Mytilus edulis: one gene and its partner. The protein of the gene in region 1 interacts with the protein of each later gene in a pairwise test. Links are inferred from orthologs where the notes say so. Each region holds a gene or a part of one and is shown on either strand. Other genes may lie near its edges. The genes, in order: protein LTV1 homolog and small ribosomal subunit protein uS3.

Evidence for each region.
Region 2: the proteins of protein LTV1 homolog (region 1) and small ribosomal subunit protein uS3 interact in a two-hybrid assay, tested with the Caenorhabditis elegans proteins (2 studies listed by BioGRID). The link is inferred for Mytilus edulis from reciprocal best matches to the Caenorhabditis elegans genes T23D8.3 and rps-3.

Annotation. Positions count from the first base shown.
Region 1 is NC_092344.1:118,740,119-118,757,525, forward strand, and holds the start of protein LTV1 homolog, read right to left. Parts: upstream 7,469-17,407; 5' UTR 7,343-7,468; coding exon 7,340-7,342; intron 1,701-7,339; coding exon 1,569-1,700; intron 1-1,568. Other genes in the region: mediator of RNA polymerase II transcription subunit 26-like, read left to right, coding at 7,959-8,021, 15,045-15,119, 17,265-17,407.
Region 2 is NC_092351.1:20,189,143-20,206,961, reverse strand, and holds the start of small ribosomal subunit protein uS3, read right to left. Parts: upstream 8,322-17,819; 5' UTR 8,224-8,321; coding exon 8,194-8,223; intron 7,920-8,193; coding exon of another isoform or gene 7,919-7,919; exon of another isoform or gene 7,901-7,918; intron 7,140-7,900; coding exon 6,915-7,139; intron 6,315-6,914; coding exon 6,220-6,314; intron 5,544-6,219; coding exon 5,356-5,543; intron 2,743-5,355; coding exon 2,555-2,742; 3' UTR 2,553-2,554; intron 1-2,552. Other genes in the region: cathepsin O-like, read left to right, coding at 8,496-8,654, 10,418-10,520, 13,102-13,210, 14,624-14,689, 15,312-15,468, 16,671-16,786.

The DNA of each region.
Region 1 (17,407 bases):
GCTTGAGCAAACATTGATACAAGCAAAGCAAGCAAGCCAAACAAAGATTTGTCTTGCTAGCATTAATGTAAAAGCTGTAACGTTACCTGATGCATTGCGTTTCTTTGTTTACATTGAACATGACTTCATAACTTAAATAATGTCACAAGTAAAATCCCTCACAACAGAACCAAAATTGGAAACATTACAGTATTTCCGTTTCTTTTTTTAACAAATATGTAAGTAACAAAAAAAAATAATCATACAGACTTCATCCCCATTCACAGGTAATGCCTGCCTCATATTATGTCAATTGGTGGATTATTCCTGACCTGTCTAATGAAACTCCGGTAATTTCAAATCCTGTGCTATCATTTGCGGTATTTTCTTGGGGAACCCTGTTTTCCATCATCAAACAGAAGCTGAAACTGCTTGTAAATGATTCTAGAACACTTCATGATTGTTAAAATAAATTTAATTCACTTAAAAAACAATTTAGAAACTTGTGTATGTTTAAACAGGAAGTATAAAAAACATGTGTAAAAGAAGAAATTAACCGGTGAGAGTCGAAATCCGTACACGACAGATATCACTATAATACGACTTTGAAAGTAAAACAGTCTTTAATATACCTATCACATTAATGTTTGAAGGGTCTTAAGCTTATACAAACAATATTAGTCAGTATGAAACACCAAAACGGAATGAACAATAACCAATTACGTTTTGTAGTTCTAAGCTGGTTTACAGTGGTCTTTTTGACTATGTTTATATCGTTTCAATCAAGCAGATAGGCCTACCAGTTTATTTCAACCGATGCATTGAATAAACTGGAATCTGCTCAAACTATGAACAAAGTGTAGTAGTCAGCCGAGAACCAGCTTATGCATTGAAAAGAAACGAGAAATTTGTAATGAAAGGTTTATTTTTTATATTTATCAGTATTAATTTGATATTGAATAGAAATAACTTATCAATATGGATGAGTTAAAACTATTAGTTTGAAAAATGATGAGAGTGCCATCTACAATATCAATAACAAAGATGGCGGAATGTAAACAAACCACCTTGCCGCGAAAATTGAACTTGTTCTCTTATTTCTTGCTTATTGTACTCTATAGTCCGCACCCCCTCTGGAAGGTCCAATTTTGGAGAATAAAACTGCGGACTATACAAGTCTTTCTATGGACAGGTCAAGATCTTTTGTTTATTAATAAAATAAAGTATGTAAACTGGTTCCCATCCAACTACAACACTTTGTTCGAGTGTAGCGTATTACAAGCAGATTCCAGTTAGTATGTAAAATAGTAAATATGGAACCGAGTGCGGTAGGTGGAAATATAATCAACTTCCGGTTCTGGTCAATGGTATCGGAAACATGACGCGGATGCATCATTTTCAAAAAAGGAAGTAGATGTCTTACATATCTGAAAAGTACTAATATGTTACAACTCACAATTGTCCAGCTGCTTAACAAGTACATGTATAAAGTCATGCTATTTTGTAGTACTGGGAAGATGTACATGTATGAGCAATTTGCTGGTTGCTTGTTTTGGTAAAAAAATTAATAAAAAGTAATAAAAACTTACTTTATCATTGGTCGATAACAGGACTCCCAAAGAGGCATCTTCACTTGCTTGCAATGGATCTCTCTGACTTCTGTGGACAAGGTGAAAGGTAACAGCATTTTTCTTATCTATGAATTTCTTCTTTTTATTAGGCTGAAATGAACAGATGTAAGTTTTTTTGCTAGTACATTGTTTTCTTTTTTGCTATCTTGTTAAATATAGGAGAAAAAAGATGCAGAGAACAGACATAGTTAATCTATTTACAGAAGATGAAGCTATTTAAATGAGTGGAGAGAATAGCAAGCATGTATGTAAGCTGCTCTCTGAAAGAGTTGACTGTCTGTGTATAAACAACTGTAATTGGTAATAGATTCCATTGCATTATTGTGTATGGGAAAAATCAAATGAAAATCTCTGCGAGTCGTTAGATGTATAAACATGTCTGAAGGTGTGAAAATGATGTTTTCTTGTTCTAGAGTCTGATGGGATGAGAATTGTGCTAGCTGGAATAGAAACAAGATGATGTGTGCTCTTGTATATCACACGGCATGCACATAATCTGTGGTGTTAATTTTGGCCAGTTGAGTGTATTGAGCATGTTTGATAAAATTGAGAATGGAAATGGGGAATGTGTCAAAGAGACAACAACCCGACCAAATAAAAAACAACAGCAAAGGGTCACCAACAGGTCTCCAATGTAGCAAGAAATTCCCGCACCCGGAGGCGTCCTTCAGCTGGCCCCTAAACAAATATATACTAGTCCAGTGATAATGAACGCCATACTAATTTCCAAATTGTACACAAGAAACTAAAATTAAAATAATACAAGACTAACAAAGGCCAGAGGCTCCTGACTTGGGACAGGCTCAAAAATGCGGCGGGGTTAAACATGTTTGTGAGATCTCAACCCTCCCCCCATACCTCTAACCAATGTAGTAAAGTAAACGCATAACAATACGCACATTAAAATTCAGTTCAAGAGAAATCCGAGTCTGATGTCAGAAGATGTAACCAAAGAAAATAAACAAAATGACAATAATACATAAATAACAACAGACTACTAGCAGTTAACTGACATGCCAGCTCCAGACTTCAATTAAACTGACTGAAAGATTATGATTTCATCATATGAACATCAGGCACAATCCTTCCCGTTAGGGGTTTAGTATCATACCATCATAACATATATGAGAAGAACATAACCCGTGTCATGCCAACAACTGTTTTTAAAAAATAATGTGTTTAGTTCCGATGCAAAGACCTTATCAGTGACTCAATATTAACGCCAAAATATGCAATCTTTAATGACTTGACAACAGTATCGTAATTATATCCCTTCTTAATAAGTCTATTCAAAGGTTTTGTAAGTTTCTGAGGTGAATACTGACACTTTTGTGCTTTATAAAGAATATTACCATAAAAAATTGGATGTGAAATACCTGAACGTATTAGAAGTCTGCATGTTGAGCTATATTTACGAATGATGTCTTTATACCGATGATAAAATTTAGTAAATGTTTTGACTAGTTTGTGATATCGAAAACCCTGGTGTAATAATTTTTCAGTAATACATAAATTTCTCTCGTTAAAATCTAAAACATTGTTACATACATGAGCGAATCGTACAAGTTGAGATATATAAACACCGTAAGATGGTGACAAGGGAACGTCACCATCTAAAAACGGATAATTAACGATAGGAAATGAAAAATTACCCCTTTTATCATAAATTTTAGTATTCAGCTTTCCATTAGTGATATAGATATCAAGATCGAGAAAAGGCTAGTGTTTAGTCTAAATTATTATGACGTCTTAAAAGGCTATTATGTTTTTTCTTTGACGACTTACATCGATGTCATAAAGCCAAACTCATATTTGCAGTTGGACTTTGAGAGGGAATTAACTGCTTTATTAAATTGTTTAGCTGATTTCTCCTAATCCTAAGGTGTATATAATATATTTTTGAACCAAACCTGGTAAAATTTGACGGACCTGAATTTCAGGATAATATAAAACAAAGGTTCTGGAAATTTGGGTCTGTCAAATATTGGCCGAGTTTGGTGCAAAAAATTATTTATAATCTCCTTATAACGTTTGAAAAAAAGCAGAAGATGGAATTGTAACTTATTTTATTATTACTTTAGGGATTTATTGGAAGTATTTTGCACAAACACTTAAAAGGTAAGAATTTTTGTATATATATGCATATTTTTTTAGCCTTCAATGAAACTTTTATGGCTAAATTGGGTCTTAAAGTTGAGAACAAAATATGTTTTAAAAGTCAGACCGAAAATGATGGCTTCAGCATTATGATGTCGATGTAAGGTTGTCAAAGAAACAAATATAATAGCCTTTCACGATAATTATTTGGACTATGCTAGTGTTATGATAACTGTTGCAGGCATACTGTTATTATTACTGAGCACCTCTCCTATCGACGTCCTACAGCTGTTTTGCCAGACAAGCTGGGGTCGTGGGACGTCAGAGCCTGTCCGATATAAAAAAGTGGATATTTGCCCACCCAAAATAGATGCGCTGCTTCGTCGCTTCTGGTGCCGACTAACAGCCTTGGATTTAAATAAATCGGGCATCAATCTGTTCATTTTTCATTCATCTTTTCATTTATGTAAGTTTCACCTACCTGCCACCATTTATTTTCTCATATTTAGACAGTTTTCATAGTGACAACTTGATTCAGACATTGTGAATTTGAACAGATTGATGCCCAATTTATATAATTCCAAGGCTGTTAGACGGCACCAGAAGCGACGAAGCAGCGCATCTATTTTGGTTGGGCAAATATCCACTTTTTGATGTGGGACGTCAAAGAGCCCCATCTTGTCTGGCAAAACAGCCCTAGGACGTCAGATTACTTTCTGACTACTATCGACCATCTCCATCTTCGAGATAGATTCTGAAGTGTGGAGGTCCCAAACCTTTTGACCCAATTTTAATACATGTCTTTGTTTAACCTGTCTGCATTCAAGAGGAATTCTTAACAACTACAATGTACTGATTTAACGTCAGACAATGAGGTCTTCAATCTTCAATCTTTTTGACGTGATGACAGAGTAATCTCTCTTGTAAATTATCCTCTCTTGTAAAATTATTAATCACTAATGTAGTTACTCCTTTGTACTTTTATATTGTAGGTGGCGCTTTAAAAATATTAAAGAATCAATGTATGAAGTGAAAAAAATAAAAAAAATTGTTAATTAGGTAATTGAAATGACATGAAAAATTAAAAAATAATAAAAATTAAAAGAAATTTGTATCAAATTATCCACTAAAACGTTTTTTTCTTATATGTACTCCCCTAATAGTTGAGTGATATTTTTTGCATTTGGCAAAGTGATTGTTAATAAATTGTCTAAATCTGTTGGAATTTGTCCTGTTCAGAGATGGGTCTGATTACTTTCAATGTAATTGATTAAACAAGCGTTAGCCTTTCAAAAAGGCTATTCGACTCTTAGCTGATGAAAATGGAAAGTGCTCTCGCTTTGTAGATTAATTCATTTACTAGAATATAGTCATGTGCATCAATCAACAAATTTTACCACACACGTGAGGTCACACGCTATGAAGTAGTATCGTTTAACATATTTGTTTACTCCAGAAGATTCGACTATTTATAGATAAAGGTTACCTGTATAAAATCTAATTGCTAAAATAGAGAGGACAAATCCAATACTCTACAGGATTGAAGGACATTTACTTGGTTTGGATTGTCCTAACCAATCAATAAACTTTGATTATTCACGTCTCGTAATATCTTCCAATCAGGTAGAAAGAAAAATTCACGCACTAACTGTCCATCATTCAATTCTTAATCTCGACTCCTAGGAGTGTCGAGAATTACAATTACTTTGGCATTTGTATGATTAAATTAAATTAACGATTACATCATTTCTGAAAGTATCTGATTAAATTTACAATTACATTGGCAAAGTAATCATGATTACATCTGATTACAATGAACTTTTGAAAAAAACATTTTAACTGATGTGAATGAATGAATAAATGTTTAATATAACAAAATGAGTATTTTTGCAAAAGAATTTTATATGTTATAAAATAATAACATCAAACTTTATATGTTTAATAAACTACAAAAATTTACAGCATATTTACATGTCATTGGTTATGACCCATTACACTTAATCATCATTGATCTCTGAATTATTTTTACTTCAATTAAATAAAGGTTTATAAAGAGTTTGGTGTTTGTCATCAAACCTCTCCATGTATCATGTGTATTTCAAGGTTCAGTTTCAGGAATTTAAAATATGGATGACATAAAATTACCAATTAACAAGAATGTGTCCAAAGTACATGGATGCCCCGCTCCCACTATTTTTTTCCATGTTCAATGGACCATGAAATTGGATAAAAAATATAATTAGGCATTAATATTAGAAAGATAATATCATAGAGAACATGTGTACTAAGTTTCAAGTTGATTGGACTTCAACTTCATCAAAAACTACCTTGACCAAAAACTTTAACCTGAAACATGCACTGTCATTTTCTATGTTCAATGGACAATGAAATTGGGGTCAAAAGTTTAATTTGGCTTTAAAATTAGAAAGATCATATCATAAGGAACATGTGTACTAAGTTTCAAGTTGATTGGACTTCAACTTCATCAAAAACTACCTTGACCAAAAACTTTAACCTGAAGCGGGACAGAGGGACGAACAGACAGACAGACGGACGAACGGACGCACAGACCAGAAAACATAATGCCCCTCTACTATCGTAGGTGGGCCATAAAAACTATGTAAAATGTTACTAATATTGTTTTATCAAATTGTCAACAAAATATAAGTACCAAAAATCATAGCATTTTACATGTCCAGTCCAAATACATACAATTTTTTTTTTAATTTGAACTACATTTTTGTCCTCTATCAATTAGTCTGATTTATCATTTATCATATATATTATCATGATTACACTACAGCTATACACAATTGGTAATTGCAATAGAAACAAACCTTAATTGGTCACCTACCTGTCAATTCAAAGTGGACAAAGATCACAATATTAACAAAAAATTATAATTCAGGGGTTAAAGAAAAGTATTACTTAAAATTAATAGTTATTATCAAATATGTAATAATAATAATTTATTTTATTATCAAGTATATATACATCTTTAAATTGTGAATCTTTTACTTAGGCTAATGATGACTGTTCAATACTGTAACATTTTTTTTACTGAAGTGTACAATTAAATATGAATATAAACAAAAAGGTTAATTTATTGACCATAAACAGTTTTTGATTTTGTTCATTGTAATCAAAATGTAATCAAAAAGTAATCAGGATTACAGGGTATTTTGAAAAGTAATTGATTCAATTAAATTACATGTAATCAAATTTTTTGGCTGATTAATGATTACAATGATTACTTGAAAAATTGTAATCAATTACAGCTGATTAACGATTACAATTACAATTTACCCCATGTCTGGTCCTTAGATTTGATCAGATGAAATAATTTGTCTCTGGCATCTGAATACAGATCACATTCAAAAAGGTAGTGTTGTACATTTTCTTTTTGTTTGCAGTAATCACAGGTTTCCGAGTTGATGTGCTGGTTTATTATAAATTGGTATGCATTTTTATGAGGTCAAAACAACAATCCAACATCAATAAATTAAAGTGTTCACCCTTTTAGTTTTACGGTTTTTAAATTTTTTTTTATGATTTTACTTGTCATTTTTGAAACACAATGTAAATAATTATTGGGATGAATGATAGGAACAGGTCAAAAGTTTGTTACAAACCATTATTTTGGTTGGTTGAAAATGTTGTTGATGTGTTTTACATTTTCTAAACCTCGTGTTTGGAAATGTGCGGAAGTGCTACTCGAAACTTCTCTAGTGTTTATAAGTTTTGTTAAAATCCGAATGGAAACCTAAACCAATTAATAAATGCGGTACATTTGGCCAATCAAATGTCCAAATAGTCAACTCAGCTATCAGAGCCCTCTTTTGGCAAATATTTGTGTGACTGAATCAGACAAAAAATAGTCCGCTCGTCGGTCCTCATTTTCTTCTTCTACTTCTACTATTTTCTATAATTGACCAAACTCTTAATAAATATTAAACAATAAAGTCTCATTTTACTGAATAATTAATGCAAATGATATGTTGGTGTAGATTTAGAAGGGAAGTTCTACGTCATTGATATCGTATTATCGTAACCACGTGGTCTACAATCGCGCACTGCTCAGTCCAGTCGTTCGTCACTTTACGTCACGACACTGGAGAGAGACTTCCCAGATGCCAGTGCGCTATAGATATCCGTACAATTGCAATGTATGGAAGTCCGCCATACTGGACGGACAACATCAGTCGTTCAGCTGGCTGAAATCCTTTAAATTGGGGGCTTTTTGGCGTCCCAATGCAGTGCAGTCCGCACGAATTAAAGGAGAAGTTGCTGAAGGGCCTTGATGAGGAAAATAATGTAAGAAATTAACAGGGAAAATTGAAATATAAAATTGTCCCATGGTGAAGTTGTGCATGGCTCCCATGTTGTGTTCGATCAGCTATTTAAACAAACTATTTACCGATGATAGGCGAAACATACATGCGTGAATTTTCATAAGTAAAAATAAAAATTGTTTATGGTTTATATAACGGAATCCTCCATATGAAAATATTTTTATTTAAAAATTACATATCAAGCAAATTAATTAATTTGATCTGTGCATATATTGATTATAGTTCACTCGTATCTCATTCCTGTTGTGAAATAAGTTTACTGAAAGTAGATGTATACTGTACAAGGACTTATTTTTTTTCACATTTAAATGTTTTATAAGATTTTTTTTGCTGAAACTAGTGTGATCCATTCATTTATAAATGACATTTAATCAAACAAAGAACTTTTAGTATGTTACCTGTGCATGGCGTTCATAATTCATCAACCAAGTTAACCTTTTGTTTCTGATTGCTATTTTGGTAGATGAGATTTACATTACAAGTAAAACTTAAAATTCATTATACAAAGATATTTAAGATGTCTGATTGCTGATTAGATAACTCTCCTGATGACTTGATGTTCCCATCATCAATATTGATCACTGTCTTTGACATGAGCAAAACCCACACTTCATAGAAAGCTAAAAATGTTGTGAATCAACAAAAGATCTTTTTTTTTATATTAAAAACAGCAAACAACATCCAGTGAATTGCAGGATCTGGATTGGGTACACATGGGTGGAATTAATAATGATTGATGTCCCCCGACACTCCCCATACCCATAGTCTGAGGGGGTTCACTTGAAAACAAATAAGCACTGTTAAGGGAGCTACCATTTGATTTTTATGAGGGGGGGGGGACTCCTGTCCTGCCTATTTTTTTCAAATTTCATCCTAGCCCCCCCCCCCCCCATAAAAATCAAATGGTAGCTCCCTAAAGTCAACATTCTGTTTGAATTGTGACTGTTAAAGTTGAGTTCATGAGTCCAAATAACACCCCTTTGGAAACTCCTGGCTACAGGTCTGCTCCCCAACCTAGCCCAGTAGGGCAGTGGTGTACAAAATATAATTAAAAACAAACCCTAAATTAAACTGATTAAATTCATGGTCAATGGAAAGCAAAAACAATCAACAAAAAAGACAAAGTTTGCTATAGGTTTTGCAGCTTAGATACATGAATCTTAAAAAGAGATGATACACTGTACCAAGTGGGGCTATTCAAAAGAAGATTAAGAAAGAAAATGACAAGTCTTTACATTTATAACTTAAAGAAGAACGATAATAATAAACCTCTCTTAAAAAAAATATCTGTTGAATTTTTCTTTTGGTTTCTTCACACTAGCTCAATGAGCAGAGATATAAAATCATGAACAGATTGAATTTTATGTACATGTAAGAATGAAGTACAATTATTGAGAGCAACTAAAATAAATGAAATTAAAAAAAAAGTATCATCCACAGTCTGCACGTTTAGCTACTAGTCCGATGTCCTTGACTAGTAAAATTTCAATCGGACTAGTAAGTTTTTGCCAAACTTTGTGGGAATGTCAACTAGGGTGAAGATTAATACTTTTATATAGGAATACCCAGTTCTAGCTAAGATAGTGATACACATGATAGATATCGTCATTACTCAAGTACTTGTTGATATTAACCCCAATTATCATATTGAAAAGACACCAAATGAAATCTTCATTACCTGGAAAGAAATGATCTCATTTTTCATAACCCTGTAGAAAAATCCAGAACACAGAAAAGGAAAGAAAAACTTCGACAATCCAATATTTAAAAAAAACAAAAAATTGAAAATTAAAGCAATTCCCTTTTAATTTCTTAATAAAAGTTAACTCCTTTAAAGAGGGACGAAAGATATCAAAGGGACAGTCAAACTCATAAATCTAAAACAAACTGACAACGCCATGGTTAAAAATGAAAAAGACAAACAGAAAAACAATAGTACACATGACACAACATAGAAAACTAAAGAATAAACAACATGAACCCCACCAAAAACTAATATACATCAATCACTTTATTATTAATATTATTAACCCTTTCAACGCTACACAAAAAAATAGAAAAATGGCTGCTGCTGCTGCATTTTTTTTGTGTTCATTCATTAGAACAGTATATTCCTTTTCAGACTGCTGTATCTTTTTTATTGTAAGAGATACAGAAAAAGTTATTGCATGAAAAATGCTCAGGAGAGTATGAACTGTAATGTTAGGCAATTATTTCAGTAAAATCTTTATCAGGTTACCTGCATTTTCAGGTAATTAACAGGTAAAAGGTGTAATTTGTTACATTTGTGTTGAATTTTGAATAAAAACTACTTTTCGTCTTCATCTATTTTGGGTTTTTTTATCTGCCATATAATAAAGAAGACACCCATTGCTCGATTCCGTAGCGTATTGCACCATACACAACGTATTATGTAATCATGGCACAAATCAGTGGCTCCGTCCTCAAAATTTTCAGTCAACCTCCGTTTTCCCCCCTTTTTCTACGTCTCGTAATGATCGATCAAATCATATTTCCCACACGAATTGAATGTAATAAACACATTGAGATAACAAGAAACCTTTTAACTAATCCTCGTCATCAGTTTCGCCATAGAAATGCTGAAATATTTCCATATTTACAGCTTCGTTTCCGATTTCCGCCATTTGCATTTGTCAAAATATTTGTTTTTATTTTCCTTCAATTTTTCCTTCTACTGCATGATTTTACAATAAAAATTGCCGGGATTTCAAGCGCAAATGAGACCTTGCATATCCTCGATTCATACAAGGAAAAATTAGAGAGGACCCGAATGAAAACCGAATGGTTTAAGAGTCCTTATGAAAAATCCGTTGTCATCGCTGCATATGCCGCGAATAGCAGTGGCGGACGGCGTATGTCATCGCGGCATATGCCGTGTATAGCGTTGAAAGGGTTAAGACTTGGGTGATTTTTTAAAAAGAATATTACCATATTAAAGAACAAATTAAATCCATGCTTGTGATATTAGATCCATTAAGTACTGTATACGAAAAGTTCAATAGGCATCATAATTGAGTAGAGACAGAAAATGAAGATATTTGTTGTTTCTGCTTAGCAACACCTTCTCGGCTTCGGGCATTGCTGCAAACACGTCTTCGAGACGACTTGTGATTTCATAATCAAACCCTCCAAGTGTATTACAAGAAAATAGTAACAGAATCCTTCTAAATATAAAGAAGGCTGAATGCGTTCGATATTTGCTCATTTTTATGTATCATTTGTTCATAGTCCTCGAGCTCCTATTGTCTAGTTGTGGCTTGAATAAAACAGAATTCGGTTAAGGTCAAATCCCAACCAGGAGCAAGTACACCAGATATTTTGAATGTGGATGCATGTATTGATATAAAAATATGCTGTATACTTACTTTTGAGACAACTTTGCACAAAAGACAAAATGGCCTTTGATAATTAGCAAAACCCATACTGCAGTCTGCTACAAAAATCACCAAAATGACAAAAGAAAAATAATTCCAACAAGAAAGTTGACGGCCATCAATATTTTTATAGGCCTGTTTGGTGGACGTATAATGTAAATGGTATATCTTTGTCCGTCCGTCATCAACATGTCAGACATAAACTCCAAAATGCTTTAACTAATTTGCATAAAACTTTAGTGAATTGTTTATATATATCTAACGATGTGAGCTCCTAGTGTTTCCTGCAGCTTTTAAAAAGGGCAGGGTAATTGTTAGCTCAGAGGGCACATTAAGCGCGATGGACAACAATTTTAGGGCACTTACTTAATATAAACAGGCAATTTCTATAAAATGGATTCATTTAAAACATACTAGTTTAATGCTATAAAAAGGACATATACATCTGTAATCAAATTTTATCAATCATTAAAACAAATTGTTAAACAAGAAAAAGTGTTTAAAACATATATATGAAATATTTAAAACAATAAACACAATTAAAAACAAAATCAGTTCTTTAAAAATGTTTAAAAACAAGAAAGAACTATGTCATATATATAAAAATATTGCTTTGGTCATATTAATTGTCATTGACAAATCCTCCTTTTTTTCCCTAAAAACAGGTTGACACATTCCCTGATATCCAAATCATCTATTGATTTGGTATTTGCTAACACTAGAACAAGATTGTTTACAGTTGACATATTCTGTCTATTTCTGCGTTGTGTCACAAACATTCCGTGCCTCTTTGGTGCTGAAAATAAATAAATAACACATAAAACAAGAATATCTTAAATAATCTGGAAGTTTTTTCATAAATTGTTCCTTTCTTAGATTAATTCAAATTAAAAACTGAAGAAGTAAATTTAAAAAAAATAATTTGATGAAAAAATGAATTAATTGAAAGTAATTAATATGCAAGTGATTTGATGAGATCCTTGGCCTAACTCAACTTTAACCTTAAATTACCCCTTTGACAAAAGTTTATTTTTAACCCCCGAACCAACACCGTTGCAAGTGCGTAACCATTTTGTAATAAAAATCTACAAACCTTTGAAAAAATGATAAAAGCTTTCTCCATTTTGAAGCCTGTTTCTCATTTTCTTCCTCACGTTTTCGCTTCATCCGATTTGTTGATGGCATGATTAGTATCTGTATTCACTATTCAATCTATTGCAGTTTGCTAATCAGCTGATTACGAAATCTATTACAACATGGCGTCCTAGTGAACTTTTGTTTACGTTTGAAGGGAAATAACTCGAGCGGTATTCATAAAATATGTCTTTCAGTACAGGTTGTTAATTACGACGGTAAAGGCATGGCGTCAGGAATTTCGACAAAATTAGGGCAGGGCGCCAAATTTTTTTCCCAAAAAGGACAGGGCGCCATTACACGCCAAAACCACCTGTAGGAAACACTAGCTCCCTTTTGTTTTTTATAAATTTTTGATTTAATGTTTCCGAGTTATGGGGTTTTATCATTAAAAAAGAGGATTTTCCAGTTTTCCTACAATAACTCTAAAATGCTTTCAGCAGTTCTCATGAAACTTTGAATTATTAATATCAAAAGGGGCCAAAACAAGCATTTTCCTACTTTCAGGATAATAACTTGTGTATAAGTATTTCAATTGCTCTTAAATTATACCGCCAAAAAGTTGCCCAAAAAAAGCATTTTTGTTGTTTCTGGACAATAACTTGTGTGTATGTTTATGGATCTCTCTGATATTGTACCACATGGTTCTATATCACAAAATGAAGGCGGCTAGGATTGAGTTTGGGGGTAATTGCTCAATTCATGCAGTATTTAGGGGCCAAAATCAAGTTTTTTTCTAGTTTAGAGACGATAACTTGTATTTAAGAGTATTGATCTCTCTGACATTGTACCACAAGGTTCCATATAACGAAGGGAAGGCTTGGAATCAATTTTGGGTTAATATCTCTGAACATTAAGAAAAAAGGGCCAAAAAGAAGCATTTTTCTAGTTTACAGACAATAACTTGTGTTTAAGTGTATGGATCTCTCTGAAATTATACTACAAGGTTTCATACTAAATAGGAAAGGCTGGAATTTAGCTTTTGTGTTCTTGCTTCAGGGGGTCGGGGGGGGGGGGGGGTTTCAATAAGTGAGGGGCCTAAATAAGCATTTTTGTAGTTATCAGTCAATTACTTGTTTTTAAATCTCTCTGAAATAATACCACAAGTTTCCATACTACAAAGGGATGGTTATGGCTCAAATCATTAATTAATTAGGGGCAAAAAAGGGGGAAAACAAGGGTTTTTCTGGTTAATTCAGACAATTTAAAAGCAGTGAAGGGGAGGTAAACCAATTAAAATTTTAAGAAACACTGTTACATATACAAAATGTATGTTTGATTACTTGTTTAGCTCCCTTACACTGCTTGAAAATTATGTATTAAGAAATGATTGTATTGAGATGTGTATTAGTAAATTTATTGTTAGAAGTTACTGTTAATTAATATTAATTTTAACCATGACTGTATGTCATTTTTATGCCCCACCTACGATAGTAGAGGGGCATTATGTTTTCTGGTCTGTCCGTCCGTCCGTCTGTCCCGCTTCAGGTTAAAGTTTTTGGTCAAGGTAGTTTTTGATGAAGTTTAAGTCCAATCGACTTCAAACTTAGTACACATGTCCCCTATGATATGATCTTTCTAATTTTAATGCCAAATTAGAGTTTTTACCCCAATTTCACGGTCCATTGAACATGGAAAATGATAGTGCGAGTGGGGCATTCATGTACTGAGGACACATTCTTGTTTATTTTAATATTTTATGATGCATTTACATGAGAAGTTATTATTGCCAACTCAATTAGAAACTTGAATTGAGATATTTTTTGGAATATGAAAAAGGGGGAGGGGAAAAATAATTGGGTGGGGGTAAAATTTTTCTCATTTCAGATTAAAAAGAATTTTTCTTCTAATATTTTTTTGAGGGGATTTATATTCAACAGCAAGTGTATTTCTCAAAAGGAATAAAACATTTTTTTAAGTTCATTAGACCACATTCATTCTGTGTGAGAAACCTTTGCCGTGTCAACTATTTAATCACTATTCTAAATCAGAGCTGTATCAAGCTTGAATGTTTTGTCCATAATTGCCCCAACTGTTCAGGGTTTGAACTCTGCAGTCTTATAAAGCTGTGCCCTGCGGAGCATCTGGTTTCTTTTTGTTATTGTTTTATTTACGTCTTATTTTGTACTATACTCCTTGGAGGGCCCATTTAATTGAAAATAAGCTTCTTCTATGGATATGCGAAGGGCGTACATGAACTCATGGCGCAGCTGTTTATTGTGCATGTACAAATATTAAATGAAAAACATACTTGTAAAACAGCAACAAACAACAACTGAGTTACAGGTTTCTGACTTGGGACAGACACATACAAAAAGTGTCGGGGATAAACTATTTCAAAGGTGCCAACCCTCCCCGTAACCTAGGACAGACTCAATAAAGTTAAAATGTTATAGGCCATATGTTTTCAAAGTGGATTATATCTCTGTATAAAAAAGTTTCCTTTGTTTCCTCAGGTTGTTGACATGGCAGCAGTGGTGGCTGTTATCTCCTTATTGGAGAAATATCCTATGTCTAGAGAAGCATTGGAGGTAAGAGTCGTTTACAAACATTCACTTCCTCTCATTATATGAACACAAATCAAGATTGTCCGATTGATTGGCTGATGTCCATCTGCAGATATTAATTTTTGATTTTAAAGTGGCATAGTGCTACGCAGACACATCTTACCAATTTTATTTTGAGTTAATTTGCTTTTTTTTTCTTCAAGAAATGTGTTTAACATGTAGGGCACAGCATACTGACTGAGCTGACACTTATTTGCTTTTACACAAGATCACCATGACATACTATACACTAAAAATGTGTAAAGATGTTCAATCTTAGGGAGCTACCATTTGATTTTTATGGGGGGGCTAGGATGAAAAATTGTGTCCTGCCTCATAACTTGGCGTCCGGCGTCCGTAAACTTTTACAAAAATCTTCTCCTCTGAAACTACTGGGCCAAATTTAACCAAACTTGGCCACAAACTTCCTTGGGGTATCTAGTTTAAAAAATGTGTCCGATGACCTGGCCATCCAATCAAGATGGCTGTCATGGCTAAAAATAGAACACGGGTAAAATGTATATTTTGGCTTGTATCTTTGAAACCAAAGCATTTAGAGCAAATCTGACGGGGTAAAATTGTTGATCAGGTCAAAATCTATCTGCCCTGAAATTTTCAGACGAATCGGACAACCTGTTGTTGGGTTGCTGCCCCTGAATTTGTTATTATAAGGAAATTTTGCAGTTTTTGGTTATTATCTTGAATACTATTATAGATAGAGATAAACTGTTTACAGCAATAATGTTCAGTAAAGTAAGACCTACAAATAAGTCAACATGACTAAAATTGTCAGTCAACCCCTTTAAGAGTTATTGCCCTTTATAGTCAATTTTTAACAACTTTTCGTCATTTTTTGTAACTTGTACAAAAATCTTCTTCTCTGAAACTACTTGGCCAAATTTAACCAAACTTGGCCACAATTATCATTGTGGTATATAGTTTAAAAAATGTGTCCGATGACCCCGCCTACAAAACAAAATGGCCGACATGGCTAAAATTAGAACAGTGGTGAAATGCAGTTTTTGCTTTATATCTTTGAAACTAAGATATTTAGGGCAAATCTTTCAAGATTTAAATGCCCATCAGAATAAGATGTTTCTGCTCTCAAAATTTCAGATGAATCTGACAACCTGTTGTTGGGTTGCTGCCCTAAAATTGGTAATTTTAAGGAAATTTTGCAGTATTTGGTTATTATCTTGAATACTATTATACATAGAGATAAACTGTAAACAGCAATAATGTTCAGCAAAGTAAGATCTACAAATAAGTCAACATGATCAAAATTATTAGAGGACCCCTTAAGGAGTTATTGCCCTTTATAGTCAATATTGAACAAATTTTCGTCATTTTTGTAACTTGTACAAAAATCTTCTTTTCTATAACTATGGGGCAAATTTAACCAAACTTGGCCACAATCATTACTAATGTATCTATTTAAAAAAGTGTCTAATGACCCCACCTACCACCCAAGATGGCCAACATCAGTAAATACAGTAACAGGTGAGCGACACAGGCACTTGAGGGCCTCTAGTTTTTAGTTGTAATCTCTGTCCTGCCTTTTTATTTTTCAGTCTATTCGGTCCTGCCTTTTTTTTTTCCTTAGCTTATCCTGACTTTTTTACAACAATTGTCATGCTGCCTTTTTTTCAAATTTCATCCTATCCCCCCCCCCCCCCCCCCATAAAAATCAAATGGTAACCCCCTTAATGTATTTGGAAAAGGAAAAAAGTTGAACTTGTATAACCTGAATATGAATTGAAGACCTGAATTGTACAAATAGTACAATTAAAACTATTGAAAAACCAATTAATAACCATTGTTAGAACAAAAAATGTGAATACAAAATACATTATTTAAGTCAAAACCTCTATAAATACTAGTTTGAGAAAGGTTCATATCCCAGATGCCAAATCAAAATTATGATTGCTGAAGATTTTTGAACACAGGAACTAGGAACATTTAGATCTCTACAATGAAAGAAAAAAGAGATTGACCACTTCATTATTTATATTAAAGTAGTCATGAATTTCTTGAGTTTAAATGCAAGTAAAATTATTCCACATTAACTTAAGAATGGAGGTGATATTTTAATACATCTTTATTACTTTATTTTATTTTTTTCCATTTCAGCAAACACGAATTGGGAGATACGTAAATGAATTGAGGAAGAAAACAAAAAATGAACAATTAGCTAAAAGAGCTAAAAAGTTAGTGAAAAATTGGCAACATTTGATCAATTCTGACAATCCCATTGTAAATGGGGATAATGGTGA
Region 2 (17,819 bases), on another chromosome or scaffold:
TTCGGAAAATAAATTAAGTTTTTGTCTTATTTATAGATGAAAGGTCAACATTATTTGTTGTCAAAGTGGAAAATAGAAGGGACGCTTTAATTGCCCATTAAGAAAATAATAAATAATCAAGAAAAAAACAAGTGTGTCAGTTGAGAGAAACACCACAAAATCAATAGTTTATCTATTATTTAGTTTACATTTCTTCAATCACTGTCCTCAAATTTAGTATATCAGTGTTCCAGCTTGAATCTCAGGGCAGAAGGGTGCTACTTGTCTGAAAGGGCACTTTAGCGCAATAACCCAAATTGTAAGGGCACTGTTTGGCAGTGTATTAATAACCTTGAATATATGTATTATATATTGCTAGGCTCAGCTGCAGAACATTACTTGTATTTTAACCTTATTCAGAAATTAATGTGTTCCAAGTGTTGGTTCCAGTAAGATTTTTTTATTATCAAATTATCATACCATGACACAAAGCATATCATTTTAATTGATGTAAATTTATGCAAACTGTGCATTTTGATCAGGAAAAAAATCCTTAGAAAAATCTTTTTTTTTTATTTTATAATTTATATAACTTAATTATACAAGTCTATAAAAATAAACAAGTAGTTCTGAAAGATGGAGCTAAACAAAATTGAATTTGTTATGTAATTAAATTATTTACATTAAAACTACTTGTTTAGACATATAGTATTTGTGTTATTGAAAGTTACCTAAATTGTTACAAAAAAGTATTAAGAAGTGCACACCAAAGGGCTCCTAAGTAGGGAGTTTTATAAATATAACAGGTGATACAAGAGATGATTATATTATAATGATGCAATAATACATTGCATATATTACAGAAGGTATAAACTCCATTATGGTTAAAAAATAAAAGCATTTGTTAAGTGCTCCTATGTAAGGAGGATTATAATACAAGAAATAAAACAGGAAGTGGTGCAATCTTGTTATGTTCAAATACAAATTTCTTTGGTTCTTCTTTTAATTTCATACTGGTGGTTATAAAAACAAATCGTTTTTACCAATCTACCAATTAACTCAAAACTTAGTCTGCCTTTTAAATTGTTTTAAATTTTCTTTAAAAATATTTTTTTTTATGTGTACATATGCTATGATACGTAAACATTACAAATGGCTAACATGTCAGCATTTTCATTCTGTATTAAATATCTAGTATTTGTTCAATTATCTTAAATCCACTAATTAGCAGTGAACAATCATTAGCAGAGGTGATAAAACTGCCAAAGGCATTAGGTATTTAACTTAATCCTATTGTCAGTTAATTAGTGTTACACAATCACTCAGGTAACAATTTTACCGGAAACGCCAGAAGGCATGAAATTTGTAAAATGTATCTTTTGAAAAGGCAGAGGGGGGCATTCTTTGGCTTTGGAGGGCAGAAGGGCGGGGGTAAGGGCACCAAGGGCGGGGCGCCCTTCTATTTAGGGCGGGCGGGGCGCCCTTCTATTTAGGGCAGGCGGGAACACTGTATATGTACCTACTAACTGGCTACAATTTTTATTCAAAAACTGCTGTATTAAAAATTGTCCTTTACATGTCATTTCATTGGTTGGTTTGCTGTTAGGTTTCTGTCCTATTGATGTTAACCCATTTCCTACTTTCCTAATTTTTTACACATATAAACAAATAGATTTCATTTGTTTGTGATGCACAACAGTGCTACGTTAGAATCATATATTAGCTAACAAGAAATACTTCAATATTTATTGGGATCATCAGGGCAAGTAATTTTTTTTCCGGACAAGTAAAATTTTAGGTTTCACTTGCCCGGGGACAAGTGCTCACAACAAATATTTCCACATTGTATTACACATCATCACTTTGGAAAATCTACATTATTAATGTCACAAGTCAGCGAACCAGTAGTTATTGTAAATCATAACAACTGGATTAGTAAAACTTGGTTTTGGTTTTGCAATTTCCATTTAATCCCCTACATTATTACAAATGCATGGAATACAATTAGGAGTTGCATCTTATAATTCTATAATAGATGTACAGATTGGAAGGAATAGTGATCTTCTATTTTAGAGATCGTTAAAGGGAGATAACTTAAAAGTTAGGAATTGTGTGGATTTATTCATTTGTGTGGGTATCATTTTTTTGGATTCAGGAAAACTGTAAATATGGATAATTGATTTCATGGTTTTCCCTCTGTGTATGTATAGAAAATGTGTACTTCCTTCAACACTAAAATTTGTGGATAACAAAAAAAGTCAGTAAAAGACTAAAAGTTAGTATCCCAAGATTTTTAAAAATGATACTGTGGTTTCATTTAATTTTGTGGTTACCAATTTTATTGGATTGACGAAAATATGCCTTTTTGTAGATATTTGATTTCATGGTTTTGTGAAAGTCTGCATACAACCTTATTTTAAATCTGTTATTCATTAAACATTTGAATTCGTGGTTCAATTGTACCAACAAAATCCGTGAAAATTGGTATCCAACGAATATATTTATAAATCCACAGTATATTTATTGTCAAAGTTTTTGTAAAGTGTCTCTTCTCAGTAAGAGTGTATACCTACTTTTATAATGCAACAGGTGGCTGGGCTGGATCTGTAGGTTTAGATCCCTTTTGCTCAGAGAATGGTCTTGAAGGAACAACCTCATCCTTAGGTTCCACAATAATAACATGATCTGGCAATGGTTTCTTGGGTCCAATCTTACCACTTGGATCCCATGGTAACATAATCTTTACTTTAATTCCAAGTACACCTAGTTTAATGTAAATAAACAATTTTAGATAAATTTAGATTTATTTTTATAAGGACCATACCTGAATAAAATGATTAAACTATTTGTATTAAGGGGGCTCCTGGGTATAAATGAATTTTTTTTCTAATATAGGATTTCGCTATATTTTTTCATAAATGAACTTTATCATATACTTAAAAGAAAAATGAAATAAAAAAATGGGGTCACCGTTCATTTAAGCTAAAATCTGCCTCTGGAAGAAGCATACATTTTTGTTAATGTCCTTTTTTTCTGTTGAACTAATAGGAGAAAAAGAGGAAATATCGAAATAAAAAAATAACCTAATATAAGAAATCACTTAAATTTTACAATTATTTAGTTTATGTACAGCTTATTTGAAAATAATAATAAAAAATATAGGTCACCGATGAGTTAAAAAAGATATTTCAAATTTAAGGCCAAAAAATGGCATGTTTGCACCAAAGGGAGATAATTTGGAGCTTTTTCAATTTTTAGTCATTTGGGGCCAAACCAAATCAATTTTTTGGGTTGTTTTTTGTACCATAGTTCGTTACAACTAATAGTGTAATAAATAAAATTTGTAATGAAAAAATAAAGGTTTAATTTTTTGCTAAAATTTTTGTACCCATGAGCCACCTTAATTATTAAATCAATATCTTTGTGCATGAAAAAAGAGTGAAAAACTGATTAGGGCTATTCCAGAAACATTTTTTTCTGGAATAGCCCTTAGCAGGACAGACTAATGGTCAGAAAAAACAGAGACGGACTGCAATATGGGGCTGTGCCACATATTTTCAACATTAATATGCCCTGAACTTCTAAGAATTTAAATTTATACTAATATTCTATACTACATTGTACCCCTACCCCCACTTTAGGACCTTTAAGAATTAAATTTTTGGCGCTACCCTGATTTTCTATACTGGTATAAAGTTACCAACATTTCCAAGTTAGTTACGTCTCTATGAGATGAAAAACAGAAATCATGTCTGGGAACCAGTACCATAACAAATTAACATATCTATGAAAATAATATATATATCTCCCCAAAAGAGGATTGACTTGTGAAACAGCTGTATTTACTAAGTCCAACCTAGATATGATGATGGTTTAAACTTGATCTGTGTTTTTTTGGTTATAAGCATTGTGTACAAGTTTCATAAAATTTGGTAGAGGTAAATTTAAGTTGGAGAACAGAAACTAACTATAGTTGTTTATTTCTGTGTCATTTGGTCTCTTTAGGAGAGTTGTCTCATTAGCAATCATACCACATATTTGGAACATATAGGCCTACAGACAAAGGTAAAACTTAATGCAACCTTCGCTACAGGGGATCTCATTTTTTATTTTAGCCTTTTCACCTATGGTCAATGTTCTGGAGGTAATACTACCTATGTTACTGATTAGCCTTCAATATTCAATTAAATACTATTCAAAATGTACATGTTACAAGTCAGCGAACCAGTAGTTATTGTAAATCATAACAACTGGATTAGTAAAACTTGTTTTTGCTATTGCAATTTCCTTTTAATCCACAACATCATCACAAATGCATGAAAAATAATTAGGAATTGCATCGTATATTTTTAATACAAAACAAGCTTTCTGAGTTTTTTGCATGGCAATATGTACAGTTCCCTACCAGTTAAAAATTCTCTGTACCGAAACAAAACTTGATCTGTAACTTGTCATGATCTCCAATCAAGACAAAAAAGTGTGGAAAACTGATTTTTTGAGTGACTTTTTAAGTCCAAGGATCATAGCTCTGAAGAAAATCATAAGATGGGAACAAAACTCAAACTTGATCTGTAATTTGTTATGATTTGAGAAAAGAAACAAAAATTCATAATTTTATCTATTTGTAAAGGGGCACAACTCTAGAACAGTAAGAGTGACTCCACCAATTTTCATTTTTAATCTGTCTTTTGTAGTATTAAGTATCGTTAACAAGCACACTAAAGTTAGAAAATAGAAACCAATTTCAAGATGTGCAGACATTTTAGAGACAGACAAGGGTAAAATTAACGACTCCTCTGCAGCAGAGGGGGAATTAAAATTGTAACAGGTAAACAGATAATTACTGAGGCATTTTATATTGCTCTTATTGTACCATAACTTGCTTGGATTTTTTTTTTGCAAACAAACAATTGTTATGATTCTAAACATTGATTTTAACTCATATTAATTAACCCTGATTTAAATTTAAAATTATTGTTGTCCTTTCGTTTTAAATTTTTCCAGTGTTCGCTAACAAGTCTTTTCATCGAAACAGTTTCCATTGAAAATTATGCATCACCCAGGGGTGTGGAATTGCAATTTCCCAACTTGTACATTTGAACACAACATTTTTTTTTGTCTGGATTACCAGCGGGCGAGTAAAAAAATTACACATGACAAAAATCAATTGAAACACATTTTTTTTAACACATATAAAACAAATATCACAGTCATATTGTGATATAAACCCATTATAGCTTACAATAAATTACTTCAATAATTATTGGGAAATTCAGGGAAGTTACTCTTTTCACAACAAATTAAATTTAGATTGGCATGCCCAGGGAGAAGGATTCACAAACAATTCTACATTCCTGCCATCAGTAACAATCATACCTTGTCTGAGAAGGACGTGTCTAACAGCTGTGTCAACATATTCATTGATTGGGTCACCACTGTGAATCATGAGACCATCAACAAACTTCATGGATTTGGCTCTCTGTCCTCTCAGTTTACCGGAAACGACAACTTCACAGCCTTTAGCTCCACTTTCCATGATGAATCGTAAAACACCATAGCATGCTCTATCAAAAAAAGAAATTTATCCCCTTAACTTCTATTATCCTATGAATTGCAGATTTTTTTTCTATTAAATGAATTTCCTGTATAATTAATGTCAGATAGGTTGTGAATAAATATTTACTTGACAAATGAACTTTGCCTTGACCTTAAAATCATGATGTTTATTTAAAGGACATGAACAAAATAAGTTTTGCTAATGATTGAAGATATTGTTTCAAAAGTTTAATGACAATTTCTTTTTTAGGGGTTTTAGATGTAAAAAAAAACCCTGAAAAGTTTGCATCAAATATTTGTCAAATGAATGATGGTTTATTGCCAACATTTATTTTTTTCTAAAACAAAGGGATATTATCAAACTTGGCATTGATTCAAGATTTGCTTCAAAAGATATCTGAAAACTTAAAATTGCTCCTGTTGGGATGATGACCTTTGATCTTATGAACAAAAATCTAGAGGCAAATACCATACAGAAACCAAATAAATGTCCCAGTTTGATCTATCAAAAGCTATTTTGACCTTGAACATTGACCTCAAAATCAATTTTATATAATTGGACATAATCAAATAAACTTTGGTATTTCATTTTTAGCTCAAAAGAATAAGTGTAGAGTGTGTATTTGCAAATTCATTGATGCAAACATTTCTTTTCCTTATTTTTTTACTAGTGTCAAAATTTACCTTCTTACAGCAAGACCACCAATCAGTTTGTATCTAAGCGATTCACACTGGGCGATAGCACACAATCCTCTCTGTGCAACCTTCTCAGCATACAACTGAAACAGATATATTCATAATGTAAAGCATGCATAGTTCAACAGTATAAATTTAATTATCTACAATACAAATGAATGTTTAATTCTTGTACAATATCATCTGCCTGCTTGTGGTCTGTTATTCAATCTTGAGGACTTATTTCAGTCAATTAGAGTAAGTCAGATTTATTTTGTACATGTAGGACTAAAATGTCTGTCTGACATGGCAGGGTTTTCTCCAGGATTTGTACAATTTGTCGTGTCGCATTGCATCTCCTCATTGTTTTCTAGTTAGTTTTTGTGTCATTACTTTTTTGTCTTTTGTTGTGTTAACTGTGGCATTGTGTGATGTAGACTTTTGGTTAGAAAATAATTGGTAAAAACAGAAGTGTATTTTATCAAAGTTGTACAAAATTTTCAACATATAAAGGTGATGTGTGTTTATAGTTGACACATGTGTGGTTAATTATAGTAAGGACAGTTCGATTGGAATATTGAGTTCATGCAATTCAAGTAGGAAGCTCAATAATTAAGAAGCTGACAGTACCGGACTGACCTTAACATTTTACACTGAAAATTGGAAAAATAATATTTTCACCAGTATTATAATAATTGAAATACCTCCACTGTGCCTTCAGGGAAATTGAATCTTTTCTGTACAACGGAGGTCAGTTCTCTGATTCGTCTACCCTTCTCACCAAGAACATTTTGTGTTCTTGTGGCCAGAATAATAATTTCTGTTCGTGTTGGGGTTACTCTGACTTCAACACCACTGTAACCATCTTCAGCCAGTTCCCTTGTCAGGAAGTTGTTCAATTCTGCTTTGAAAACTCCATCAGCAACAAACTACAAAACAGAAAAACTTAATTTACCTACATTGTACATGTATTACTAGCTATAGGGAGTACTGTTTCTTGAACCTACGATATTGATGGAGCCATTACTCAGAAATTTAATGTATTTACATCATTGATAAATTAAGGATTAGTAGAATGTTCTTCTAGCCAAATCAATTTTAAGCCGTATATATTTTTTATCTAAATGTTTGGCATCTACAACTGTTTTCAATTTTTATGATAATACAGATGGGAGTTTATGACAAGCTGAAAATTAAATGCATATTATTTAGTTATATGGTACAATTCAATATAAATCCTGTATAAAATTACAATGAATTCTGAGCCATATTATGTATCATTGCTAATTTTGCTAGGTATTAGTATACAGCGAGAAATATCACTCTACAATGGCTACATACATTACTTGCAAACACATTATTCAAGTTGACCAGCCTTTGCTCTTACGATACAGTTGAATGCTCGGTGCTTAGCAGTGAAACAGCAAATGCCAATTGTTAAGTATACTGTATTTTGGTTCGAACCCACAACCTCCCAAACTCGAGGCAGACTGAGAAATGCATGCAATCAGAAAACCACGGATTCATTTATAGTGGGGATTGACAGAAATATTCCAAAAATCATGAATTTCGGGTGAATAAATCATAGCTTCACGATTTTTTTACAACCTTAATACAAGTCTACTTCTAGGCCTCAGTTAGATGAAAATTATCTGAAGAAATCATAGGCAAAGTCCGAGATTTCAAGGAAAAGCTGCAGGTTTGAAAAAGTATGCAAGTTATAGTTTGAGATTCATGAACTTGCAAACGTGACTACTATACGATTGAATTAGTCCTATGATTTGAAATCAGAATAACACTCAATTTAACTATGCATTACTTTAAAACGAAAGAACATACATATCCATCCGTTCAATATCGGGCAACAACTTCGCCATCGGTAACAAAAAATTATCAAAATGGATACTATAATGACTTGTGTTTATGTTAGGTTCGTTTACTTCTTTATAAAATTCAGAAGACTAAGTGAAAATGGAATCTAACCTTCCGTTTTTTACTTATTGGGTTAGCCATGTTGACGGCAATTTTAAAGAGGAAGTTCACAGTGGAACGAAATGTATTGTGGGAGACCGATCTCGGATTTATTTCCGCATGATATTTGCAATAGTTATACACTTAATTAAGGAAAGTTAATTTTCATTTTGTTAAATAATTTAGAAAAAATAATTTATCTTTGATTAGAAATGTTCATTTTAAATCTGTACCTAACTGATAACAACTTATGATATGATTAGTTCCGGAAAAGTGTTCTACACGGAGTTCCGGTTTATATTTAGTTTTGCATTATGTCAAGTTTCACTTTCACTTTGGTTTTGGTATTATATTTTCTTCTTTTATTAGTGAACAGCAGCGAGATTAAAGAATTCAGTATTTACCTTCAAAAATTTAACAAAGAGAGCATTTCAGAAACACCAGTGTTCCACAAAAAATATCAAAACTACAAGGTAAAAAACTAACCATGTCCTGATCACTGTTTTTAGCTTATCAATATCACTGTTTTTTTAATCCATATTATATTTTAGAAGTGTTGTTCAGTACACTTTATTACTGATTACAATTTCTATAATGTTAGTTTTCTTTATTCCATTTTGATTGCTATCAGATAGATATTCCATTTTACTATGGTGTACTATATTAATTATTACTATTAGGAATGACAAACAGGGCATCAAGCTAAGAACCTGAAACATCATTGCATGAAGAAAGTTTATATTTATGTAGGACTCTGAACTGCAATGATACTTGGATCCATGATGCCCACACTGAAGCACAATGGTTTGAAGCTTAACTGTGTTTTGGTTACTCTGAGAGCGTGATGTAGGCATTGTGATGTTATCTTGTTCAAGTTGCTGATAGCTACGTACACCCAAGTGCATTAGTGGTAACACTGATGCAAAAGTCTACATAAAACACATTTTGAATTATTTGCATGTCTATATGCAGAAGTCAATTGTTTGTTGAAAGCAATTTTTCTGGGGCTTTAACATGTTTTAGTTAATAAAGGGGCATCTTAAATTTTTTACTTATTTTAAGGGAAAGATTACTTTCTTTAGCAGATTTTTGTTAAAATCTACCAAAAATCTTTTTTGAGAATGATGGAGTGTGGCATGTTCTACATACATATGGTCAGCAGCAAGAATCTCCATCATGTCTATATATATGAGGAACTTACGGTATTAAGATAGAAAGTTGATGCAGAATGATGTTTGCATGTAGAAAATTAGAGAGGATAATTTTTCATTTAGTATGAAACTTTAACTCAGGACATACATATACAATAATGGATGTCAATTTATAAACTTAATATCTGAGAGTAAAAACTACCTCTGATTATAATAAGAAAAAAATATAACAAATTGTTTTGATATATATATACATAAAGTTTTAAAATAAAACCAAGAAATATATAATACATATATGTACCTACATTTTTACAATTTTCCATATAGATTTTTGTGTTGTTTTGCTATAGGATATTTGGTGAACACTATTGAATTTATTTTAATTTGATTAAGAGCTTGCCATATATACTAGTCTGCTGTTGTAGATGCACAGTAACATCTAGACATATATATATATATTATGGCTAAGTTACAGCTCTGGTTAATTAGCAATTTAGATGTAAAATTGAACAAATTTAAATCTAGTGCACAAACTACACAGGAATAATAATACCTTAAACAAAAACTGTGCTTTTTAAAAAAGATTTATAGATTATCGTTTTTTATCTCAACAAGATTGATTTTCTCGCTTGAGCTGGTACAGCAAAAGTGAGAAAAGCAATCGAGTTGAAATGACCAATTATAATCGGTATTTTACCTATGACGACGTTGTTAATTTAATTCACAACGACATGTGTGCCCTTAGTTTCTAGTGATAATTTTTTTTATCACTAAACTCCTCTGAGAAAGAAAATTATCAGTCACCAAGATCAAAGGAAAAATTTGTAAATTAGCGATAATTAATTTTTATCCAAAGAACAGCAATAAAACTATTATTATGTGTACTAAATAAATCAACTTCTTGTTTGAAAATAAAAATAATTGAAAAGTTACCTTATCCAAAGGAAATGTTAAAAAAAATATATGCTTTTCTTTCATTTGTTTTTGTAATTGAAGTTTAGAAAGAAAGATATTTTGCTGTTTTGTTACTTTGTTGTTTATCATTTATCTTGATTCACTACTCTATAAGTTTTTTATATTTTCAGACCAATTTAGAATTCCAGAGATTCCTAAATGGAACTCACAAACACTTAAGTGCCTACTATGGACCTACTAAATTTTCTGATCTTTCACCTGAAGAATTTAAAGGTAGGCTTCATTTTAGTTATTGTCTAACTGCCTACTGTAATCAATGACCAATAATATACCATTGTCGTGTTAATTGTACATACATGTATTGCCATTTATAACTTTATAGTATAGCTCTCTTTTAAGTGTTTCAATGTTGGCGAAATTGAAAATTGAAAATTGAAACAAATTTTATGAATTTCTGTTTTTATTTACAGTAATAGTGATGGGAGACATATATTTAATGAATGGAAAGGGGAGACAAATCTATATATCTAAGTCAACGATTATTTTTAGCAGAACAAATAATAATGAACTTTTATATGACCGCAAAAACTGAAAATTTTTTGGTTGTATATTAGTATCACGTCGTCGTCGTCGTCGTCGTCCAAAGACATTTGGTTTTTCGCACTCTAACTTAAGTAAAAGTAAATAGAAATCTATGAAATTTAAACACAAGGTTTATGACCATAAAAGGAAGGTTGGGATTGATTTTGGGTGTTTTGGTCCCAGTAACAGTTTAGGAATTAGTAGCCAAAAAGGGCCCAAATAAGCATTTTTCTTGGTTTAAGCACAATAACTTAAATACATGTATAAGTAAACAGAAATCTATGAAATTTTAACATAAGGTCTATGACCGCAAAAGGAAGGTTGGGATTGATTTTGGGAGTTTCAGTCCCAACAGTTTAGGAATTAGGGGCCAAAAACAGGTATCAAAATAAGCATTTTTCTTGTTTTTTGCACAATAACTTTAGTGTAAGTTAATAGAAATTTTATCACAATGTTTATGACCACAAAAGGAAGGTTTAGATTGATTTTGGGAGTTTTGGTCCCAACGAATCAGGGGCCAAAAGGGTCCAAAATTAAACTTTGCTTGATTTCATCAAAAAATGAATTATTAGGGTTCTTTGATATGCTGAATCTAAACATCAACTTAGATTTTTGATTATAGGCCCAGTTTTCAAGTTGGTCCAAATTGGGGTCCAAAATTAAACTTTGTTTGATTTCAACAAAAATTGAATATATGGGGTTCTTAGATATGCTGAATCTAACCATGTATTTAGATTTATGATATTTGGGCCTAGTTATCAAATTGGTCCACAGTGAGGTCCAAAATTGAACTTTATTTTATTTCATCAAAAATTCAATTCCTGGGGTTCTTTGATATGCTGAATCTAACCATGTATTTAGATTTTGGATATTGGAATACCACAAAGGGATGGTAAGAATTGTCTTTGGGAGTTATGGCTCAAACCGTTAAGGAATAAGGTGCAAAAAAGGGGGGAAAAGGGTTTCCAGGTTAATGGACAATTAAATAAGTACAAAACATAATTGAAAAGCAGTGTTAGGTTGGTGTTTGAAACTCATTTGAATATCTCACCTAAACTGCTTTTAAATTATGTAGATTGGAAATTTGACAAAAACTTAACTATTAATAAATTCCATTTAAAATTTGCCAATAACTTAAGTTTAATGAACTTCATTGGAAATTTGCCAATATAAAATGTTAGATTGGAGTTATCTTTCTTTGTCCAGAATGGTTGTTGAATCACCTTAAACCAATGCTTTATGAAATCTTTGAAAATTGGAGTTATCTTTCTTTGTCCAGAATAGTAGTTGAATCAACTTAAATCAATGCTATATACAATATGCAATGCAATATTCACTTTACTACCAACTGATAAATTAAATCAGTCTTTACCATTCAGTGATTACAAGCACTTTGATTACCATTCTAGGGTTATGCCCCTTTATAAATGGAAAATTGAAGAATACTTTAGTTTCTGTTCTCTTTACTTAAGTTTGTCTCAACTTAATTTAAAGAAATGTGTATATAATGGTTATTACCTCTAAACTCAGTTTTAGTTCAATTTTTGGCAGCTTCACTTTTACAGTTCTTGAGTTATGTTCCTTTATAACGTTAAATGCTAGTGGAAGCATCATCTGTGTCCCTTTGGACACATTCCCCATTTATTTTTTTAGAAGTTACTATTAATTAATATTAATTTGAATCTTGACTGTATGACATTTTATATTTTAATATTTTATGATGTATTTAAATGAGTAGTTATTGTTGCAAACTCCATTCGAAATTTGAATTGAGATCATTTTTGGAATAATGAATATTTTTGTTTTTTGAGAGGATTAATATTCAACAGCATAGTGAATTGCTCAAAAGCAAATACAATTTTTTTAAGTTCATTAGACCACATTCATTCTGTGTCAGAAACCTATGCTGTGTCAACTATTTAACCACAATCAAAATTCAGAGCTGTATCCAGCTTGAATGTTGTATCCATACTAGTCCCAACCGTTCAGGGTTCGACCTCTGCGGTCGTATAAAGCTTTGCCCTGCGGAGCATCTGGTTCTTTATATTAAGACCTTGCATGACTGTCTCCAATTTGTTTTTTTCATTTTACTTACACTTTTTTATTGGATGTATGTATTCTGACTTATTTTGTCATTTAACATTGCAGAATATTTTTGTAATAGTGAATATAACATATATATAGTACATAGTTTTATATACCTTCGTTAAATACAGAATTTTCAATGCAAGATAAAATATCAATAAATTGACACCATATTAATATTTTTTAGATCAGTATTTATCAGACTTGAAAGTTTCAAGAAAGACAAAAGATGAAAACCAGCATCATACTCCAAGTAATTTCTTCAGAAGATTGGATATTCCAAAAAGAGTTGATTGGTAATTTCCAGGCTATGTGATAATAATTTAACGTTCATTTTTCTTGCTACTGAGGTATAGCAAACAACCATCAAAAATATATCACAGACTTTATAGTAACTCATTTAAATATTAACTAAAAAATTGAAATTCTATGTTTCCTAAATACATTGCTGAAATGCCTACATCAAAAATGGAATAATATAATACATGTAGTGAAATTGCAAGGCTTTAGTTATAGATGCACAAGTATGTCAGTTTGTCCATTCATTAAATTTTATATTTATTTTACTTCCATGGTTCCTCCCTGTGCACATGTTTGGTTACCAGTTGATAATTAAAGTACATTGTACTACTTCTCGAAATAAAAAAATTTATAACACTTTCTTCTTCTTCTTCAAGGTAAGGAACCGAATTCAATTTTTGAATGTATGAGGTCCCGCGAAAACTAACACAGTGTCAGACAACACAGAAAGTTTTCTCTTGGCTATTTACAGGATTTAACGTTCTTTATATATATATATATATACAATTAAAACTATGTACAGGATGTTACTGTCTAAATTTTAGCAGAGCATGCCTTCAGGACAGCTCTGAATCTTTCAACAGTTTGAGCTGATGTTGGTGATGATGGCAGTATTGTCAGTTGTCATTATTTCAAGTTTATTTGAAGCCTTTGGTTTCCATTATATTCAAGAATTATGCTACTTGGTACATCTCAAAATTGATATTTATTAGTTTTGGTTTCCAATTAAAAAATGAATTTCAGATGATAGTAACTTTTTTCAATTTTAACACAATGTCATGATCCATAAAATACATATCAGTTTTCAAGATTTTGGCATTTAGAATTCAAGAGTTATGCCCCTTAATCTTTTTTGAAAATTGGGAATTTTCGATTTCCTCATTAGAACTAAACTTCCACTAGACAGATTTTTTAAGAACCTAAGAACCTTGATAAGGAATGAATTCTGATTTTTACAGATTTTACATCTTGATCAGAATATTCCCATCAATTTTCTTTCAAACAGATATGTCTTTTTGTTTCTTTATGATAGTTAATGTTCCTTTTGACAAAATATTTAACTTCAAACACATTATCAGTGACCATAGTCTATAAGTTCCTTTATGACAAGTGCATATTTTAAGTTCAAGAGTTATGCTGCAGGTCTGGTGTAAAGGTGGTCTTCTGTGCCTTATTATTTGTATAGAAATTTGACTTGATTTTGCTGTTTGAATGGTTTTACACTAGTCATTTTGGGGCCTTTATAGCTTGCTGTTCTGTGTGAGAAATGCTCTGTGTTGAAGGCTGTTCTCTTACCTATAATTATTAACTGTTCATAGCTTGTGACTAGAATTGAGAGTTGTCTAATTGGCACACATACAACATCTTCTTATTTAAATCATGACCTAATTCTAGTTTTTGTATTACAGGAGAAATTTTAGCAACATAAACTTTGTGACTCCAGTAAAGAATCAGAAGAAATGTGGAGGATGTTGGTAAGTGCGAAGATTTGTATAGTAAGACTTACATATACAAATCCTTGGTAAGTAGAAAAGTACAGATAGATAATTATCCAAATGTCAGTACTTATTAGACACATTCAACACCTTTTCTTAATTGGTGTGAGTTATATTTTACATTTTATTAACAAAGAACATTGTATTATCTGAAAATTTTACCTGAAAATAAAACATGAACAACATCTCAACATTATCTGTATCTACATTTTAAATTATTTATAAGCTACACACTAATAACTTTATGAGTAACAGAAAAAAACTTAATTCATTCCATTTTATCATGACGCATGTACTTCCGTAGCCAAACAGACAATGCAAATCTAGTCATCTTTAAAAACTTGAGTTATCTCCCATTGTCCAGAATTGTATTTGAATCAACTACAACCAATGCTTTATTGACACTGCAATCTATAATTTTACTTCCCACTGATAAACTAACACAATCTTTACGCTTCAGTGCTTACAGGTACTTTGATTACTGTGTTATTTCTGTATTTACAGTAATTATTGATGTTCTTCACAATTCTGTGGGAATTTTGCACATTTTTGAAATATCCAGGTAAACATAATACAATTTCATCTATATTTATATTGCCAGGGCATTCAGTGCAACAGAAACTATAGAAAGTATGAAAGCTATACAGACAGGATTACCTCCCCCTAGACTGAGCGTACAGGAAGTTATTGATTGTGCCACATATAACGATGGATGTAGCGGTGGTGATCCATATCGAGCAGTAAAGTGGCTTAAAGATGTATGTCATTCAATGTCATGAAGTATAATATTGTATTCTATACAGATGGCATGGTTCATCAGATCATCTTTCTACAAAAGAGTGATAAACAATTCAATAGTTTCTTGTATATATTTTTTAGTTAAGTATGAAGTCCATTAACTAGTATACATTTTTGTTTAGGGGCCAGCTGAAGCATGCCTCTGGGTGCGGGAGTTTCTCCCTGCATTAAAGACTCATTCCAGGTGGCCTTCAGCTGTTGTCTCTTTGACACATTCCCCACTTCAATTCTCAATTTTAATAATGAACTTCTACAGAGACTTATAGTTGTTTATTTCTGTGTCATAAATTGGTCTCTTGTGAAGTCTAGTTGTCTCATTGGCAATCATACCAATTATCTTCTTTATTCTATTCTATGCCTTCAATACCTTACTTTAAATCAAAAACATTTAGTTAATAAAACAAGAAGAATTATTTAGCTTCATGTTGAGCAGGCCATTGAGTTGCTTTAATATAAACATTGATAGTTTACTTTTTTATACCTTACAATATCACAACATAAACACTCCTCAGATGATAGTTTGTGGCTTTGTGCAGCTTTTTGGTTTTTATATGGTTCCATAAAAACAGTGTTTGCATGGGTTTTCTTTTAAAAGTAAAACAAACAACAACAAAAATTTCTTTCTTTATAATATCAGTATGATAGCTCTCATCTTGTTTGATATTCAAGATTATTACATTGGTTACAATGAATTACATTGATTTCCCAGTGAAAAAAAAACACTCTCTGACATCATACAACAATATGCGTTGTCAAGACTTCGATTATGGCGGATCAAAACAAATTGTGAATGTGTAGAGAAAAGATATAGTTCCTTACATGTTTTACATTAATTTCTTTAAAAAAAGCCATTTGCAAATGTAATAAAAAGAATAAATAATTAAAGAATTCAAATATCGAAAAATATTCAACTAGTGACAGAACAACCCTGATAATTAACTCATGCGGTACGCACATTCGTGAATTAATGTGTTGTTCGGTCACTCGTTGAATATTTTTCTCTATTTGAATTCTTCGATTAGTTATTCTATAATTATCATTCACCAAATATTGTTGTCATGTATATTAAAAATGCATAAACATGTAAATAATGATATTTTCTTGCTATGATATTTTCTTGCTATGATATTTTCTTGCTATGATATTTGGAATTTGTTTTCAGACCCAGTCTCCACTAACAACTGAGAAAAAATACCCACTGACTGACACATCTGATTCCTGTCGTATTATAGTCAATAACAGTGATGGAGTTATAGTCAAGTCAGGTAACTTTCAAAGGTAGGCATAAAAGTTAGTGATGTTACATAAAAACATATGTGGAATCCAATGAAGGCGCTTTGAAAACATTAGATATGGGTGTGTGTCAATTACAGTAAAATCATACATCTATTTTTGTTAGAATCCCTACCCATATGTTTATGTCATAGGAAAATTGTAACCATTCATATATATCCTATCAAACATACAATATGTCATATCTTATTTAGATTTTAACCATCATTCAAATTATTAAGTAAAAAGATCAGTGTAAAGTTTTGACTGACATATTTAACGAAAATAAACTTTTAGGACCCATTACCATGTAATGTTTACCCATTTATATATATTAGATCCGTAAAATTACTCCCCACAGATTTATTAAACATTCTCAAAAAGTTACCCAGACCAGCAACACATGTGTGTATAACTTTTTATCTTTCCTCCTTTACATTTCTATGAATAAGATTGATTGTTAGACCAAATATTGGAATACATATTTTTAAGTCTGTCAATTTTACAATAATTTGATGAAACACAACTACTTCACTTGAATTAGATAATGTAGTAAAAGCTGGTTTAACATTTAGAAATCTTATCTAGTTATGATATTTATATACAATGTATAATCATAGATAAATACATAGGGATATAGTTACGATACTGTTGTCAGGTCATTAAAGATTGCATATTTTGGCGTTAATATTGATTCACTTATAGGGTCTTTGCATCGGAACTAAACACATTTATTCAAAAACCAGTTGTTGGCATGACACGGGTTATGTTCTTCTCATATATGTTATGATGGTATGATACTAAACCCCTAACGGGAAGGATTGTGCCTGATGTTCATATGATGAAATCATAATCTTTCAGTCAGTTTAATTGAAGTCTGAAGCTGGCATGTCAGTTAACTGCTAGTAGTCTGTTGTTATTTATGTATTATTGTCATTTTGTTTATTTTCGTTGGTTACATCTTCTGACATCCGACTCGGACTTCTCTTGAACTGAATTTTAATGTGCGTATTGTTATGCGTTTACTTTTCTACATTGG